Linked DNA regions of Cricetulus griseus. The protein of the gene in region 1 interacts with the protein of each later gene in a biochemical or structural test. Links are inferred from orthologs where the notes say so. Each region holds a gene or a part of one and is shown on either strand. Other genes may lie near its edges. The genes, in order: Adrb2, Grk2 and Grk6.

Region 1 (3,158 bases):
GTTTCCAGTGGGAAAGACAAGGACACTCCAGAGTCAAGAGGTTTTGGAGAAACAGGTGCAATGAAATCATGGTCAAACAATTTATTTACTGTAAACTTTAGACTTTGCTCAGAAAAAAACAGCTGAAGCTGTCCCTCAGATCACTGCCTACAACACTCCATTTGAGCAAATAAGTGGAGCGGGGGAGAGTATATATTCACAGCAGAAAGGTCCAAGACACAGGATTGTCAAGTCCAAGGGTACAGGAAGGAAAACTTCCTTCTGATACAAATTACTAGCAGCAATAATAGTATACCCTAACACTTGACCAATGAGGTAGATGCATGGAAAAATCATCTAAACGTACAGACAGTCCTCTAGGACCAACACGCTTCAGACAGAAACTTTTAAGTTCCGTGCAAAGAGGAACTGAACTGCACAAGAAACAAATAAGCACTCAAATACAGCTTCTCCCCCTCTCTTGTTTTTGCAGCTTAAAAAAATAAAATAAAAAAGGGCAGAAGGATGTTCCCCTTCTGCAAATCTCTATACAATTTTATTCTAAAGTTATTACACTCAAGTTAAATAGTCTGGTTAGTGTCCTGTCAGGGAGGGGTCTTAAAAAGCAGAAAGCCTGCATTACAGTGGTGAGTCATTTGTACTACAGTTCCTCCCTTGGGAATCAAGGCTAAGGCTAGACACAGTACCTTGACAGTTCGCAAAGCTTTCCGTGCCTGGGGTGTCCTCACACAGCAGTTCACTTTCTTTTTCCTGCCCCAACTGACATTCACTTGCCTCCCCCATGTAGTCTGTTTTGCCATTACTGTTGGTGGAGTAGCCATTCCCATAGGCTTTCGCAGAAGACCTGCGGAGGCATAAAAGCTCCTGGAAGGCAATCCTGAAGTCTGGACTCCGACAGTAGATCAGGGGATTGAAAGCAGAATTGACATAGCCCAACCAGTTAAGGAGGATGTAAACTTCCTTAGGGATGAGGTTTTCCTGGATGACATGCACGATGTTGACAATGAAGAAGGGCAGCCAGCAGAGGGTGAATGTGCCCATGATGATGCCTAAAGTCTTGAGGGCTTTGTGCTCCTTCAAGCAGAACTTGGAGGACCTTCGGAGTCCGTGCCCACTCCGCCCATCCTGCTCCACCTGGCTGAGGTTTTGGGAATGGAATCTTCCCTCAGATTTGTCTATCTTCTGGAGTTGCCTTTTGGCCACCTGGAAGACCCTGGAATAGACAAAGACCATGACCACTAGAGGCACGTAGAAAGACACAATGGAGGAAGCAATGGCATAGGCCTGGTTCGTGAAGAAGTCACAGCAAGTCTCCTTGAGATAGCAGGTGATGGCTTTCTTGTGGGTGGCACGGTACCAGTGCATCTGGATGGGCAAGAAGGAGGTAAGGCCGGATACAATCCACACCATTAGGATGACCATTCGGGCCTTATTCTTGGTCAGCAGGCTCTGGTACTTGAATGGCGATGTGATAGCAATGTAGCGATCCACTGCTATCACACACAGGGTCTCAATGCTGGCTGTGACGCATAACACATCAATGGAAGTCCAGAACTCACACCAGAAGTTGCCAAAATTCCACATTTTCATAAGGATGTGACTGGCCCCAAACGGCACCACCGCTAGGCCCATGACTAGATCAGCACACGCCAAGGAGGTTATGAAGTAGTTGGTGACGGTCTGTAGTCTCTCGAACTTGGCAATGGCTGTGATGACCAGCACGTTGCCAAACACGATGGCCAGGACGATAACCGACATGAGGATGGCCATGCCTACCACCCACGCTTCGTCCCGTTCCTGAGTGATGTCGTGGTCCGGCGTATGGCTTCCGTTGGGTGTCAGCAAGAAGTCACTGTCGTTCCCGGGTGGCCCCATCGCTGGCAGACTAGCAGGTGAGTGCACTGGCTTTGGGCGCCCTGGCGCTCTCAGCGGGTGCACCTCCGACGGGGCACAGCCTGCCGGGGACGGACTCCTGGAAGCTTCATTCAGCGGCTGTAGGTGGCTGTGCTGGGGGCGCGTTCTGCACACTCAGCTCGTGGGGTGCTCTGGGTTCGCGGTGCCTGCTAGCTGCAGCCTGAACGCTGGAGAAGCAGTCTCGCAATGCTCCCTGCCCGTTATGTGCACCGGACTTTAGGGGAATTGCTTGGTGACGTGCAACAACTTTGGGCCAATGGTACGGTCGCATGCCCGGAGGGGCGAGGCACCAAGGGCCAACCCTCCCTGCCTAGCCCGCCTCCTCCTGGGGTTGGTCCGGGCGGGGCCCCAGTGCTCCCCGGAGGCCAAGCCACCACTCCCTCCCAGCTACCCTAGTGGGGCCTCAGAGACAGAAATCTGGAGCTGCTGTACGATCCACCAACCAAGCGCAGTCTGGAAGTTCTTCTACCTGTCCGTGCAGGTCACCTCTGCGGGCTGAGGTCTCTGGATGCAGGTGGCACACAGCGCATTTTCCTTTAGGAACAGAGAAGAGAGACTGAACAAGCACACTCGGACACGCATACACAGGCACAAACGCACTCGGCCGACGTGGACATGCTCAGACTTATGCCGCACCACAGCCACAGACACCGAGACACACCCGCGCCCACTCACGCTGGAGACGACAGCTGTCTCCTGGTCCAATGCAGAAAGGTGGCTAAAAACAAACACAGGAATACCTAGAAACATGCAGAAAGAAATGTACACAAGAGCTCATGTGGAGATGTGGTGTGCGGACCATTCAGACACCCATGTCCACATCCAGGTAGCATCCTCCTGAAGCACTTATAAATGACACCCTCTTTTCCCATTCCCAGACTCTCAGTATATTCCCTTACAGTTATTTGGCAAGAGCACAGGAGGTGACTTCAATAGCTACAGTTTCTCTGCACACTTTTTGAAAAATATGTTTTGGCATCCTCCCCCCTTGAGACCTTGCAGGCATCGAGGCAGTAATTTACCCTTTGTCTTTCATTAGGAGTTCAAGTATTTACACATTTAGGGGAGAGTTAGGTGGTTTTATTTTATTTTTAATTCTTGGGAGTGTGGCATCATTTTCTTGTTATATGAGGATGCATTGAAAATGAAAATGTAATATTTTCCTTTTACATTTTTAAAAGTTAAGTTAAATTCATTTATTTTACACATATGGGAGTTTTATCTCTAGGTATGTCTTTTCATTG
Region 2 (4,193 bases), on another chromosome or scaffold:
CCCCCCCATCTGATTTGTATTGATCCAAAGCAGTGAAGAAGAGCAAAGGAAGTAGGGGTACTTGTTTTGCTGGTCTGTGAACTGGAACAAGAATCAGTTTCTAAGTGTCCAGAGCTGGGTTTGAAGAGCCCAGGCACGTTTGGAAATCAGAAAGGTGCTCTTAAAGATTTTATTTATTTATTATATATACAACATTCTGCTTCCATGTATGTCTGCACACCAGAAGAGGGCACCAGATCTCATAACGGATGGTTGTAAGCCACCAGTGGTCGCTGGGAATTGAACTCAGGACCTCTGGAAGAGCAGTCGGTGCTCTTAACCTCTGAGCCATTTCTCCAGCCCCTAATTTTTTTTTTTTTCATTTGTTTGCTTGAGATATGGTCTCACTATTTAGCACTGCCTGGATTTGACCTTACAGAAAGACACCTGCCTCTGCTTCTCAAGTAATGGAAGGACAGAATAGGCAGTAGTTGGTTACGATAGAAGGAGGCACTTAGAAGGCCACCAGGCCTGAGGATCTGAGTTCCATCCCTAGGCACCCAAGTGGTTAAAAAAAAAGAGAGCACTGATTGTCAAATTGTCTGTCCTCAGACCTCCATATGTGCATAAGTAAGTAAATAAAAAATAATGGAATAAAAAAAAAGTTCAGCCCTCATCGGAGTGTGGTTTGGTAGCTCACACAATTTAATCCATCTCAGCACTTGGGAGGCAGAGGCAGGCAGAGCTCTGTGAGTTAGTGGCCAGCCCGGTCTACGTGGTGAGTTACAGGACACCAAGGACTACATGGCAATCAATACCCTGTCTAAAAATAAGGAAAACAACAGCAAAATGTTCATAGTATTGTCACCCGAGGTCTGGGGTCCGAGGTGTTTATGTTAGTGTGATCCTGAGAAAATGTTCTGAAATCTGAGTCTGGGATCTTGGTCGGTGTCAGGATTCTTATTATCGTCCACGGTCTGGGGTCCACGCCCTGCTGGGAGCATGGAGTCTAGCCTCCTGAGGAGATGCGATCCCAGTTTGTGGCCATCCCCTAGGGTCGTCCCGGAGTCCTGGGTGCAGGACTCAGGTAACAGCCCAGGACTGCGATCCGCGTCCCTGTCCCGGACCCGAGCAGCGCGGCCTCTAGGGGGCGCTGCCGCCCGCCTGCCCGCCGCCCGCCCGGCTCGGCCCCTCGGCGGCTCGCTGGCGCTGTGCGCGGCAGCGGGGCCGGAGGCGGCGGCGGCGGCGGCGGCAGCTCCGGGCGCGGGCGGGCGGAGGGAGGGCGGGTGGTGGTGGTGGTGGCGGCGGCGGCCCCCGACTGCAGTCCCGGCGGGAGCGGAGCGCGAGCCGGGCCGGGCCCGAGCCGGCGCCATGGGGCGGCGGCGCCTGTGAGCAGGCGACGAGCGGGGACCGGACGGGGCGGCGGCGGCGCCGAGGCCGACAAGCCGCGCGGGCCGAGCCGGGCCGAGCGAGCGGGAGCGGAGCGGAGCCTCGGGCGGCGGGAGGAACAGCGCCGCCGCCGCCAAGATGGCCGACCTGGAGGCGGTGCTGGCCGATGTGAGCTACCTGATGGCCATGGAGAAGAGCAAGGCCACGCCGGCCGCGCGCGCCAGCAAGAAGATCCTGCTTCCAGAGCCCAGGTGAGGAGCCCGCCTCTGCCGGGCCCCACGCGCCGACCCGGGTACCATGCCCCCGGGGACCCCTCTCTCCCCGCCGCCCCAGGCCCCGGGGACTCCCCCTGCTCCGGTGACCCTCTGCCCCAAAGACCCCACTATCCGGGCCGCCCCAGGACCCGGGGACCCCCATACTCCCGGATCTTCTGCTCCGGAGACCCCACTATCCGGGCCGCCCCAGGACCCGGGGACTTCCTCTCTCCCTGCCACCGCAAGGCCCGGTGCCTGCGAGCCCGGAGCGCCCCAACTCCAAGCTCCCATCGCGCTCTCCCGGCCGCGCTACCGCTTCCTGTATCTCACTGCTGGGCCTGGTCGCTGTCAGCCCCTAGCTCTGCTGCAGCTGTCTTCCCACCCTGGGTGCTGGACTCTGCCCTCCACCCTTTGTGTCCCCTTGGGGTTCCTTTCCCCAGGTCTGCCTCTGTTTACCCAGTCTGTTGCTCCTGCTCCCAGCACCCCCCTCTTTGGCGTTCCACTGTCCTATCCACTCCCCTCAGAGTGGGTAACACTCTTGTTCGGTTTGTGGAGTAGGGAGGACCAGTCTGGAGACTTTTTTTTTTTTTTTTTTTTTTTTTTGCCTTCTCATCTGGTAGTGTCACTGCCCCTGGCTTGGATTTGAGAGTACTTTGGGGGGACAGTGCTGTGTGATGTGTCTACCATCCCTCGGGGCTGTGCTCAGGTGAGGGTAGTCCCTTCTCCGTTTTCTCCCCATGTGGTGCCTTGTAGGTACTTTTGACGAGGGGACAGCCCATCCTACAGTAGCTGGACCGTGCTGCCACCTTTCTGCAAGACAACTGATGTCATTGCACCTGGTATCAAAGTTTAAACTGTTCAGGATGTGGGTGCAGAATCGGGCAGGATGTGAGAAGTGTAGCTGGGGTTTGTCCAGTATATTGTGGCAAATAGACTTACCTTCCCATTTGAACTCACAGGAGACCAGAGAGTGAGTGAGACAGGTGTAGTTTTGTGCCCATAGAACAAGGTTTGTGTGTGTGTGTGTGGCGGGGGTACAGCTCCCCCTTGAATGGCTTGTTCAGTGTCACCCAACCTCCACATCAGGGCTTCTAGTTGTATCTTTTGTTCACTGTCTTGACCTGAAGGATGGCCTGGATGTCCTGCGTCTGGAAAAGCAGATGTGTCTTCTACACATCAGGATGCCTTATGGTGGATGGGTGGTGAGGTCAGTCCCAGAAGTTTTTCATGACAGTCCCTTTAGCAGCCAAGAATTGTTCCTGACTTTACCACCATACTCTTATCACAAGACATGGGGCAAGTTCTTTTCCTTTTAGACCTTGATTTTTACCTCTGTGAAATGTGGGCAGTATGAAATAGGCCTCTGGTGGCCCCAGTTGTTGGAGCAGGGTTGGCAGCTTACAGGGATGCTGTTGTACACTTACCATGCCCCTCCTCCAGTGGCTGCTTACTGGGTTTCGGGTTGACTGAGAATCAGGCCCGTAGAGGAAAAATTGGTCTGCGTTTCGAAGAGGCCGTTGCCCCCCCCTTTTTTTCTAAGACATTTGCAATCAGATTTCTCAAAACAGGAACTAGACGAGTGTCAGCCAGGGCTGTCTAGGGGCAGCGGCAGTTAGGACGAAATGAGTTCAGAAATGACAAAACTTCAAGGGAAGAGAAGGGGGAGGCTTGCAGTTAGCATCTAGGGCACTGTCTATCTCTTCTGGGCAGCCACAGCCATGAGAGTCTTGTGCAGGTGTGAGGTCTGCAAAGTTTGAGGTGGTGCCTTTTTCTAGAACTCTCCATATTTGGATAATCTTTCCCCAGAATGCATTTCTCCTACTGGGCCCTGCCTTGAGTGTCTTCTGCAGGCATTAGAACCCTGATGAATGAGCTGTGCCTCTTCCCCTTTCCCCTTTCATTTGGTGGCAGTGGCGATGTGACAGCAATGAGAATGGAGTTTTTAATAATACATTATTTATTTTGACATCTGTCATCTTAGTTAATCCAAAAACCATCGTGTGAAGTTGGCAGGGCCATGCCTATGTGGACTAGTTGTAAACAGTACCAGGATGGGGTGATAGTCTGTGAGCAGAATGGAGGCAGGCTGTGAGTTTTAGGAAGCAACGACGGCACCATAGGCATTGGTACAAGGGCAGGGCACCATCAGCACTATGTTGTTGATCCAGTTGCTCAGTCTGGATGGTGAGGAACCTCTTAACTCTGAACACTGGTATGCTCAGGCCAGGAAAGGACCTGGAGTCACCCTGCAGTGGCCGTGGCCCTAGGCATGCAAGCCTCCCACGATGGAAAGCAGTCACCTTTGTGATGCATGTTGCACATTCTTGAGGCATATGTCTCTTGCCCTTGAAGGTAGTTATGGTTGGGTCTCACATTTGCCCAGTATGTCCCAATTTGTGAAGTGCCTTGTCTTCACAACTCTGGTATGCTGCTGACCCAGCAGGTGGTATTTTCCTCATTTACTGATGATCAAGGTCTTGAGGCATGCCATACGAAAGATCTGGGATTGGATCGCAGATCTTTGGGGTCCTAGCCATAGTACTCTTCCTGTTTGCTTTGTCTCCTCCACCC
Region 3 (3,044 bases), on another chromosome or scaffold:
CTTTTGCTTGTACAGGACTACCTGGGTATGTGACTGGGGCCGGGGTGGGAAGAGGAGTACTGGCTCCCTATAGGGACTGGAGAGGTCTCCACTCTAAAATGTCCAGTACTGGAATGTTTTTCCCATGTCTTCCCAGTTCCTACTGGGAGTTGGCCTCTGCATTTGAAGGCCAATTCTTTTCTATCTCTACACTGCATTCAAAAATATCTTTTTTTGGGGGGGGCGGGGCGCGTTGAGACAGGGTTTCTCTGTGGCTTTGGAGGCTGTCCTGGAACTAGCTCTTGTAGACCAGGCTGGTCTAGAACTCAGAGATCTGCCTGCCTCTGCCTTCCAAGTGCTGGGATTAAAGGCGTGCGCCGCCGCCGCCACTACCATCTGCTTTCAAAATCTTACCACAAAGGAAGTCAATTAAAACATTATCACGTGGCTAGAGGTGTAGTTAGTGGTGTACAGCGTATCTCAGCATGCTTGAGCCCTGGGTTCTATCCTCAGCACACACACTATCTACCAGCCTACCTACTGACACACACACTATCATGATCATCCTGTAAAATGGTGTGTCTGACCTGGAAAAGTCCAAGCTCCCTACAAGATATACCATATATGACTTTGTAATTTTATACCAATACATGTACTGAGGCAGAGAGAATGCTTGAGTCTGCCAGTTCAAAACTTAAAGATAACACAGTGGGACCTCATCTCAAAAGTAAAAGTAAATAGCATTATTCCTGAAAGCCCTACCCACCCCAAAGATACCCTCATGTCAACTATGAATAGAATTTATATCCATATAATAGAATATTATTCAGCTTTTAAAATAAATGGCATATTGGCCTATGTTCCAACCTGGATGAACCCTAAAAGCATTCTTAGCAAAAGAAGCCAGTCACAGAGGACGATGTTCAGAGGACCCCATATACCCACATAGCTAAATTATTCAAAGTAGACGAATATAGGAGAACTAGTGGTTTCCTGGGACAGGAGGAAAGAACTCTGAACCCTAATGGACGTAGGGTTTTGTTTAGGTTCTGGAGAGGCTGGTGAAAACATTCTGATCTTACGTGGTGACAATCACATGACTCAACTGAACTGCATACTTTACATGGGTTAACTGTGATTTCATCTCAATAGCTGATAAAAATGTATTGTCAGCTGGGCATGATAGCCTTTAGTCCTAGTACTCGGGGCAGAGGCAGGTGGATCTCTGAATTCAAGGTCTGCCTGGTCTATAGAGTGAGTTCCAGGACAGCCAGGGCCACACAGAGAAACGTTGTATCCTCAAAAAAACAAAACAAAACAAAACAACAACAAAAACCAGCCAAGTGCTGGCTCAGATACTAAAAGCTTTCACTGCTCTTCCAGGGGGATCCGACACCTCTGGCCTCCACAGACTCCTGAATTCATATACCCACACAGAGATACACATGCAGACTTTTTTTTTTAATTAAAAAAAAAAAAAAAAAAAAAGCAGGCTGGAGAGATGGCTCAGAGGTTAAGAGCACTTACTGCTCTTCCAGAGGTCCTGAGTTCAATTTCTAGCAACCAAACCATCCGTAATGAGATTTGATGCCCTCTCCTGGTGTGTAGGCAAACATGCAGACAGAATGCTGCATACATAATAAATACATCATAACAAATCATAAAATAAAAAAGCATTGTTGAGCTTGCATTTTCATCCACTGCTTCTAATGTTAAGTTCCAAGATACTGACTTTATTTCTAAATTTGAACAATGACCCACAGGCAGTGTGACCATCTCAGGGCTAGAGGACAAGCACAGAGCGGGAATTAACCTGAGCAGCAGCTCCAGCCTGAGGCAGCAGGGTCAGCTCACTGACGATGCTCGACCTCTCGGTGGGTGACGTCTACCATGTGAGCCATCACTCAGGCTCCCTCCCTGGCCGCTCATCTCCTCTCTGACCCACTCCCACACCTCAAATCAGGTTGAACCCCCAAAGGTACCCTGCCATCCTTAGAACATGGCATTGCTCCTGCTCTGCATATATTGTTCCAGTCACACTGGCCTCATAGATGCCGCTCCATGTCCCTAGGCTGGTCCCGCTCTAGGGCTTCAGTGCCTGTCTGGAATGTTCATGTCCTCAGACCTTTGCATGATTCTCTCCTCAGGTCTACTTTCCCAGCAGCTTCTCAGAGATTATCCCGTCGAGAGTGATTACACCCCCTCATAGCTGCCTTCCTGGCCTACTCGCTTTCCTCTGGCACTCAGGACCACCTGAAAGCTCTCCTTGCTTGCTGGTTTATTTTGGTGTTTCCATTAGAGCATAAGGCTGGGCCTGGCTCCGTGGACCTCATTATCTCAAAGCCTGACATATATGGAATTCAGGAATTTGTTAAATGTATAAACACACGTGGTTGACAGACACCAAGCTGGACCCAGTCTCCACAAACTTGTGGGAAGGAGGCAAGCTCCCACTGGGCCGGAAGGCATGTGATCCAAGTGTCCAGTGAATCTCTTCAGCAAACAGTTTTAGAGTTTCATTTCAAGTTCTTGAACAAGAGTTGCTCTCTGTCGACCGGATAGCTGGCTAGCTAAGATCTGAGCCTGAGCTCCTGGTCCAGCAATGCCACTCCCTGGGAAAAGATGCCTGTCATGGAAGACTAGCCAACCACAGGACAAAGAGGAATCAAGTTCCTGGAGCATCCCATGTCCACCCTCATTCCAACTTGAACTAAAACTCACGCTATGTGGGGCTTCACCCATGCACATGCACACACACAAACACTCATACATAGACTTTTTGGAGGGCAGCCCAAACCATTAGATGGGTTTTTCAACATTTGCATTGAAAGTGACCAGGCCATTGCTCCAAGGCCCCGTGTCCTGGCTTGTCCAGGCCATGAGCAAGAATGAGTGGGACTTACATCAGGCTTAAAAGGCGGTTCCAGCATTCCAGCTCCCAGCCGCTTGAAATTCAGTCTCTTAAAAAGGGGGTGCTCCTTTACCTCGCGGGCACCACCTCCACGGCACCCCAGGCGCTCAGCAGGGTCCTTGCTGAGAAGCTGTAGCAGGGCAGAGGTGGTTGG

What was found.
Region 2: the proteins of Adrb2 (region 1) and Grk2 form a complex in vitro, tested with the Homo sapiens proteins (2 studies listed by BioGRID, with this or other methods). The link is inferred for Cricetulus griseus from reciprocal best matches to the Homo sapiens genes ADRB2 and GRK2.
Region 3: the proteins of Adrb2 (region 1) and Grk6 form a complex in vitro, tested with the Homo sapiens proteins (2 studies listed by BioGRID, with this or other methods). The link is inferred for Cricetulus griseus from reciprocal best matches to the Homo sapiens genes ADRB2 and GRK6.

Annotation. Positions count from the first base shown.
Region 1 is NC_048595.1:176,928,197-176,931,354, reverse strand, and holds Adrb2 (beta-2 adrenergic receptor), read right to left. Parts: upstream 1,876-3,158; coding exon 619-1,875; downstream 1-618. UniProt on the Homo sapiens protein: Beta-adrenergic receptors mediate the catecholamine-induced activation of adenylate cyclase through the action of G proteins. The beta-2-adrenergic receptor binds epinephrine with an approximately 30-fold greater affinity than it does norepinephrine.
Region 2 is NC_048596.1:54,951,824-54,956,016, forward strand, and holds the start of Grk2 (beta-adrenergic receptor kinase 1), read left to right. Parts: upstream 1-1,305; 5' UTR 1,306-1,506; coding exon 1,507-1,619; intron 1,620-4,193. UniProt on the Homo sapiens protein: Specifically phosphorylates the agonist-occupied form of the beta-adrenergic and closely related receptors, probably inducing a desensitization of them. Key regulator of LPAR1 signaling.
Region 3 is NC_048596.1:274,442,846-274,445,889, reverse strand, and holds part of Grk6 (G protein-coupled receptor kinase 6), read right to left. Parts: intron 3,021-3,044; coding exon 2,883-3,020; intron 2,592-2,882; coding exon of another isoform or gene 2,550-2,591; exon of another isoform or gene 1,618-2,549; intron 1-1,617.